Tribolium castaneum: one gene and its partner. The protein of the gene in region 1 binds, or shares a complex with, the protein of each later gene. Links are inferred from orthologs where the notes say so. Each region holds a gene or a part of one and is shown in the gene's direction. Other genes may lie near its edges. The genes, in order: serine/threonine-protein phosphatase 4 regulatory subunit 1 and PPP4R2r.

Region 1 (2,946 bases):
ATTAGATGCCGAATTTGCAAATTTGAGTCTGAGTATAGACGAACCAAGTACGTCAAAAATGTGTGATGATGTCGCTGATGATGGTGCGGAAACAACCGTCGAACAAAATCAGGTAATTTTGAATAGTGAGAGTGAAAAAGAAGACGATAACTTACACTTGTACAATTCATACAATTATTGGTATATAAGACCTGAAATGCCATTAGATCTCAGTTTAATCGAGGAGATTCAAATCGATCGAGGTAAAGTGGACGATACAACGGTGAGTAATTCATGCTTCTACTAATAACGTCACGAGTGTGTCATCATAAATTGCATGGCTTTTTTAATAATTAAGTGTAATTTTTAACGCTCGTTAATACCTCATTTTCGTGACGTAACTGTAAGTATTTTCTTGGTAATTTATGATGATACATTTTAGATTTTTTTGTGATGAAATTTAACGACGGTCTTCTGAGACGTACGTGAAGTCACCCAAAACGTTATTCTGAAACTATTTCAATGATGAAAAATACGTTGCGTCAGAGTTTTATTTACTGAAACGTTTTGTTTTTTATTGTAGGCAGGAGATACATTTGCTGAGATTAATTTAAATGAAAATTTGGCCGAAAGTAACAAAAATGATGCCCCAACTGATACAGGTAAGGTTTAGTAAATGTTTACTTACTAGTTACTTAGTATAACTAACTGTTAACTGACCAAAAATGATTAGAACATACAAAACGACAACCGTGAAGATAATTTTGTATAAGGCAGACTATGATTTTTTTGTTTTTTCTTAAATGCACTCGCGAAATGAGGGTCAAATATTGCACGATTTTTTTTTTCAGCTTCGGAGTCGAAGGAGGTTGCGAAAACCGAGCCGGTGCAAGACATTGTTCCTCAAGTGTTGATATCTCATTACTTTTTAATGACGGATTCTTCGTTTTCCTCAAATATAGACAACGAGATGTCGTACCATTGCGCCTATTCACTGCCGGCAATCGCACTAACGTTAGAAAATAAAAATTGGCCACTTTTAAAACGTACCATCGAATTATTGGCTAGTGATATGCATTACAAAGTACGAAGAACTGTAGCGAGTAGTTTACACGAATTAGCGTTTATTTTGGGTCAAGACATCGCATCGGAACATTTAACACCAATTTTCGAAGGCTTTATCAAGGATTTGGACGAAGTCCGAATAGGAATTTTGCGAAATTTGGCCTACTTTTTAAAGATTATTAAACCGGCCAAAAGATTGGCGTGCTTGCCTCGGCTACAGGAGTTTTTAAAAACGGAAACTGAATGGAATTGGCGATTCCGTCACGAGTTGGCTAAGCAGCTCCTGTCTATTGTTACACTCTTCAAACCAGTGGATTCGGCCAAACATATTGGGGTTATTGGGGAAGTTTTGCTATTTGATGTTTCCGCCGTGCGCCAAATTGCGATTTCTTTGGTAGTTATTTTTTAGTTTTAATAGTGGCAGTGTTTAATTTTAAATTACAGATCACCGAATTGTTGAGGCACATTTCATCAAAGCCCGATCTCAGCTCACTTTACCTAGTCAGATTAGTGGAGAAATTTGCTCATTCGAAAAAATGGAAGAGGAGACAAACGTTTGCCCTCCTGTGTTACAAACTTTTATCGGCCAAAGCCTTGCCTGCGGAAAAATTTGCAACCGAAATTATGCCTCATTTGTTGGACTTGAGTTGGGATCCAGTGGCTAATGTGAGATTAGTTGTGGCAAAAACAATCGCACAACATGTTATTCCCAACGGTGAGTGCTTCGAGTGTTGCGTTTTTGTGTGATTTATTTTTTTGGTTTCAGAGTATTTTGCGGATCCCAGTAATCAACATTTCGATAGTTTAGGAACTGTAATAAGGAGGCTCCAAGCCGATAAGGATCGTGATGTGCGTCAGTATGCGGAAATCAGTGATAAATTTGAATCGGTCTCACCTACACTTAGTTTGGATTACATTGACTAAATAAATTACAGTAAAGTTGTTTTGTTTTTATTCTTGGGTTTATGAACTTTGTTGTAATTTTAATTAAATCTTGTGAGCTATATACATTGTAATATTTATCTATAAGTTGTAATATAAGTAAAAACAATAAATTTAAACAATTGTCCTACGTAAAGGTTTTTTCCTACTTACACTTTACCTGACGTAGTTATAGATAATGCGCAAGTGCAGAAAGTTTGAGGTTATGTAATTCCTAACAATTTGATTTATTAGTTGATTCGGTTTAAAATGATGAAAGGTTCAATAATTACGTTAATTCTCACCTCCCTTTGTGCCGTAAGTGCCCTCCCAAGTGTTAATCAAGCCCTAAAAATAACTTTCAGACAAAATGCCTTTCCGAATTCACTACAGAAGACTGTTGGGCCCTCGGCTTCAACAAGGCAAATTTGTTGTGTTCGTCATGTGAGCAGCTCTCTAAATTCAATCTGGACGTGATAAAGTACGCATTTCGTCCCAAATTATCGTTTTTTTTTAATTAGTTTCTTAGGGACCATTGCAAGGAGTGTTGCCACCAGGACGAGTCAGCCACCGTGGAAAAGAAATACGCAAAGGCGGTTCTAGAGGTTTGTACTTGCAAATTTGGGGCGTATCCGCAGATTCAGGCGTTTATTAAAAGTTCCCGGCCTTTGCAATTTCCTAACCTACAAATTAAATACGTAAGGGGGCTTGACCCCATCATTAAATTGTACGACAAGGATGGGACGTTGCAAGAGACCGTTGCTATTGAAAAGTGGAACACTGATTCAGTTGAGGAGTTCTTGAAAACTCACTTACAACAAGACGATGATGATTATTTAAGAACAAATATGATTTAGCTATAATAAAAAACGAGTGATTTGGAATTGTTTATTGCTCATTCGTCACCAGTGAGACAACATCGTCATTTATCACAACATTCGGTAATTTCTTCAATTTTTTGTTGTACTTCTTGACTGTCTT
Region 2 (4,438 bases), on another chromosome or scaffold:
TGGGAAGAAATATGAGTCGGAAGCTCATGAGTCGGAGCTAATACGGTGTAGAGTATATAAATTAAATTTAATGGCCTATCAATTTCACACAAAAAAAGTTAGTCAACATCGGCTACTTTGAAGTAAAACAACTGCTTGAATGTTTACATTTTATGTTTTTGCTAAATAGCATGTCGCTACAAGCCCTTCAAGTTTTATTGCTTGTTGAAAGGAGTAAAAGTTTTTGTCGGACCGACAATAATTTCTGTTTTGTGCTGTGTGCTGGTAAACAATTTTGTTGTTGCTAGTTTCTTTTTAGTTCCACATAGAAAATATTTATCTATTTTCTTTACTGTAACTATTATATAATTAAATAAACACATACAAGCAGAGTAAAATGAAACAATACGTTGATTCGTTTTTATATCTGGGCCAGTGTGTTACTTTTTGCAAAAGTCGCCCGCTTGCATCTGTAAGAGTTCTAAATTCTAATTAACACAAATCTTTTAAAGCGATTACGCTCGGGTATAGGGCTGCCTTACAAAAGAAAATAATCCTCATACGTGCGCAAAATGATACAAATACATAACAAATAATATATTTACAAACAATTCGGTATTATAAAAGATAAACAGAGTATATCATATTCATAAGCCACGTTAAAGCTATGTACAAAATAAAACTTACAAGGTATTTTTCTCTTACAATTATGAATTTTAAGCGTTTATTTTAAGTTCGTTTCTCAGGATTTTGCCGCTGGGGTTCCTTGGGATCGACTCGACGAATTTAACACCGCCGGCGATTTTTTTGTAATGGGCCACTTTGGGGTTTATGTAAAGTAGGATGTCGTCTTCACTCAGGCTGCTCCCGGGTTGGCGCACGACGAAAGCTCGGGGCACTTCACCGGCCAAAGCGTCCGGAATACCCACAACAGCACAATCGGCCACTCCGGGCATCTCCAGGAGCAGATTTTCAAGCTCGGTGGGCGACACCTGTTTACAAAAAAATAACGATTATTTCTTACGTAAATATTTAACAACGCGTAATAAAAAGAGTATAAAGTATGACTTCGTAACGTTAAATTCCAGGTGCCACGTAATAAAATAATTAAGGTGTGTTTTAAATTCAAATTAAAAAAAATTTTTGAATTAAAAACCACAGGGTATGCAACCAGTTATACAAAAAATCCGAGTGTTCGCAGAGAAAATATTTTTAGCGAAATCTCGGTGTCGCTCACCCGGTTTTTGCACACGTGTTAGACTTTGCGCTGTTGCTGATTATAATTTTTAATGACTGTACTTTAAAATCAAATAAAATTGTCTCGCGTTTAAATTGATAAATGACCACGTCCTTAAAATAGGCGCGCGGTTGCGCAGTTCGTCGATCACGTCCTACTTTGAGTGGAATGATATTGAACCGGCGCTAACTTCGTTATTGTCATTGGTGCGCTTGTTGACGCAAGTAGATGGTGATCGGTGGTGCTAAAATTTCGCGAAAAAAACAATAACAATAATGGAAAATCCCGAAGAAATACTCCACAGTTTAGAGGAATTCTCGAAAACCAAGCCCAAGGACATACCGCGCGAACTGGAGGAGTACCTTTGTTTTGTGGCGAAAACAGGGGACCCTGTGTACCAGTGGTCGGCAATAAAGAGCCTCTTTCGCGAGAAGATGATTAACGTTATAACGGAGTTCTACGAGACGTGCCCTTCGGTCGAGATACCCCCTTGTCCCAACGTGGACATTTTCAATTACGACCTTATGAAGAATTTTATTTTAGAGAAGTTGGACACGTTTGCGGCGGCCCCCTTCACGTTACAGAGGATTTGCGAGCTGTTGACGACTCCGAGGAAGGAGTACAATCGGATAGACAAGTACATGAGGGCCCTGGAGAAGAATATCCTAGTTGTGAGCACCACTGAACCTGGGGGCAGGAGGAACACGGAGAACGGGGAGGGCATTATGAACGGGTTGGAGTCGGAACATTTGCCGGAAACTAGCAATAGCAGCAATGACATCAACGTGGAAGAAATGGACGATGCGCCAGCTTGGCCTAGATTGCTACAGAACGAAAATGTTCCATATCAAAATGAGAATAGCAACAGTAATGACATTCAAACCCAGCCAATTGTACAAGAAACGGTGGTCACCGCGTCTAAGCTACCAGATGTGGCCTGCAGCTCGTCTCAAGACACTGTCATAACGTGTCGAAGCTCAGAGGAGCCCTACGTTTCGATTGAACCTGTGCCATCAAATACTTGCACCAGATCAGACCCAGATGAGACGGATGTCTCGGTTACCATCACTGCCATACCTGCAGGGGTCCAAAAGAGACGAAACAGTGTCGAACCGGTCGTTTCGTCAGAAACCGAAGAAATCACCGAGTCTTGTGTAAGTACCAAGTTTTGATCAAAGTGTCCATGTGTTTGAAGTTGGCAACATTAATTGCTAAATGGTCACGTCACACTCAGGACAGTGTTGCCAGGCCTCGCAAAATTTCACCAAGTTTTGTGATTTCGTAATTTCAAAATTTCTTCGAAAATTACTAAATTAAAAAACTGTTATCAAACCATTAAAATCACAAAATCCCTCGATGTAGTTAGTTTAGGAGCGAAATTTCGTAAAAAAAGTCAAAAAACCGTAAATAGATTTTAAAATTGTTATTTTTAGCTTTTCAAGCACGTTTTTGAATAAAATGCAATGTGTTTTTCAAGATTTTACAAAATTTTGTTCGTTCTATTCGCCTCTTTTATTTTGAAAAATCTTGTTAAAACGCGCCAAAAAAATACAAAAATAAATGAAAATTGATGGTTTCACTTAATTTGCTCATTTTTGAACAAAATTTCGTAGTAAAATACCCTAAAAGACGCAAAATTTGTGTGGAAATGGTGTTATTTTTTTTAATTTTTTAAGTATTAACTAAGCTATATTAACAAAATTTTCTTGAGAAGACCGAAAGTTAAGAAATAAGAAAAAGAAAGTCGGAAATATCATTATTTCTTCCTTTTTTGTGCGTGTGGACATATTTTACAGTCCGAAATGTAAATATTTCGTAAAATTTTGTTGTAAAGAAGCTTAAAATTTGCCAGCTTTTTTTAAAAATGGTGATTCTATGCATTTTCTATGCATTTAAACGTATTTTTAACGCGAAATATTTTTTCCCTTTTGAAAGAATATCTAAAAAATACGCAGCTTAGATTGTCTCGCTTGGTTTAGTTTTATTTATTTTGCAAAATCTTGCTAAAACGCCTCAAGAAGAAACCGAAATTTCTTAGGAAAAAACATGTAAAAGCGCATTTTTGGAGTTATTTTTCACCATTTTCAAGTTTTTTTTTCTTGTGAGAATGAGCATGTTTTAGAGCCTGAAATGCAAATTTAATAAAATTCTGGTCAAAACAAGTCCAAAATCCACCAAATTACGCTAAAAATTGTGCTGTTTTACATTTTTTGAGGATTTAGACGTATTTTAAAAACGAAAATAATTTTGCAAAAATTATATTAAAATTAGTATCAATTGGCAAATTATGTTGTAGTGTAGTAGTAGATTAGTAGATGTTTTTTAGCTTATTTGATTAGATTTTATTCGTCTTTAAACCTGTCTCCTTTATTTTGCAACATCTAAAACGCTTCAAAGAAACTGATGGTATTTAACTGTTGCACTTGAAAAAACTCAAAATGTGTTAGAAAGTGTTGTTATTTTTTTATTCCCTTTCGAGATTACAGCAAAATTACAAAATTAGATTGAAAATAACATTATTAGTTTTTGTGCAAAATTTCTTAGAAAAAAATCTGAAAAGGTACATTTTTTTGGAAATGGTGTTATTTTTTAACTTTTTCATGTATTTTTTTTCTTTAGACAAGACCAAAAAATTAAGCTGGAAATATTCTTTCTGTATTTTTTGTGTGTATGAGCATGTTTTAGAGTCAGAAATGCAAATATTTTATAAAATTTTGTTCAGAACAAACCCAGGATTATGCTATGGTGCTATTTTACCTTTTTTGAGCATTTAGGTGTATTTTAAAAACGGAAATAATTTTTTCTTTCGAAAAATTGTACTATAATTTACATACAATTGGCTTAACAATAAACAAATTATATTATAGTGTAGTAGTAGATATTCTTTTTGCTCATTTTATTAGATTTTGCTCGTCTTTGAACCAGTTTCCTTTATTTTGCAAAGATCCAAAATACTTCAAAAAAATTGATGGTGTTTTACATGATTTACTATTTTTGAGTCAACTTGCTTGAAAAAAATATACGAAGAAACGCAAAATGTGTTTGGAAATGGTGTATGTTTTAATTTTTAAAATCTCTTTGAAATGAATAAAAAATTACAAAATTAAATAGAAAAACACATTTCTTTTTGCAGTATTTTTTATTCTTGCAAATGTGCATGTTTTACATTATGATTTTTACCAAAGTATTGCCTTTCCGCGCGTTTACGCACGTTTTTAGGCT

The links.
Region 2: serine/threonine-protein phosphatase 4 regulatory subunit 1 (region 1) and PPP4R2r share a complex: the UniProt entries of both Homo sapiens proteins name them as parts of the PP4 complex. The link is inferred for Tribolium castaneum from reciprocal best matches to the Homo sapiens genes PPP4R1 and PPP4R2.

Annotation. Positions count from the first base shown.
Region 1 is NC_087394.1:36,818,482-36,821,427, reverse strand, and holds the end of serine/threonine-protein phosphatase 4 regulatory subunit 1, read left to right. Parts: coding exon 1-262; intron 263-562; coding exon 563-641; intron 642-830; coding exon 831-1,438; intron 1,439-1,488; coding exon 1,489-1,759; intron 1,760-1,810; coding exon 1,811-1,968; 3' UTR 1,969-2,235; downstream 2,236-2,946. Other genes in the region: selenoprotein F, read left to right, coding at 2,236-2,283, 2,331-2,446, 2,495-2,822; uncharacterized protein C16C10.8, read right to left, coding at 2,854-2,946. UniProt on the Homo sapiens protein: Regulatory subunit of serine/threonine-protein phosphatase 4. May play a role in regulation of cell division in renal glomeruli. The PPP4C-PPP4R1 PP4 complex may play a role in dephosphorylation and regulation of HDAC3.
Region 2 is NC_087402.1:9,726,614-9,731,051, forward strand, and holds the start of PPP4R2r (serine/threonine-protein phosphatase 4 regulatory subunit 2), read left to right. Parts: upstream 1-1,348; 5' UTR 1,349-1,491; coding exon 1,492-2,370; intron 2,371-4,438. Other genes in the region: uncharacterized protein LOC107397720, read right to left, coding at 696-971. UniProt on the Homo sapiens protein: Regulatory subunit of serine/threonine-protein phosphatase 4 (PP4). May regulate the activity of PPP4C at centrosomal microtubule organizing centers.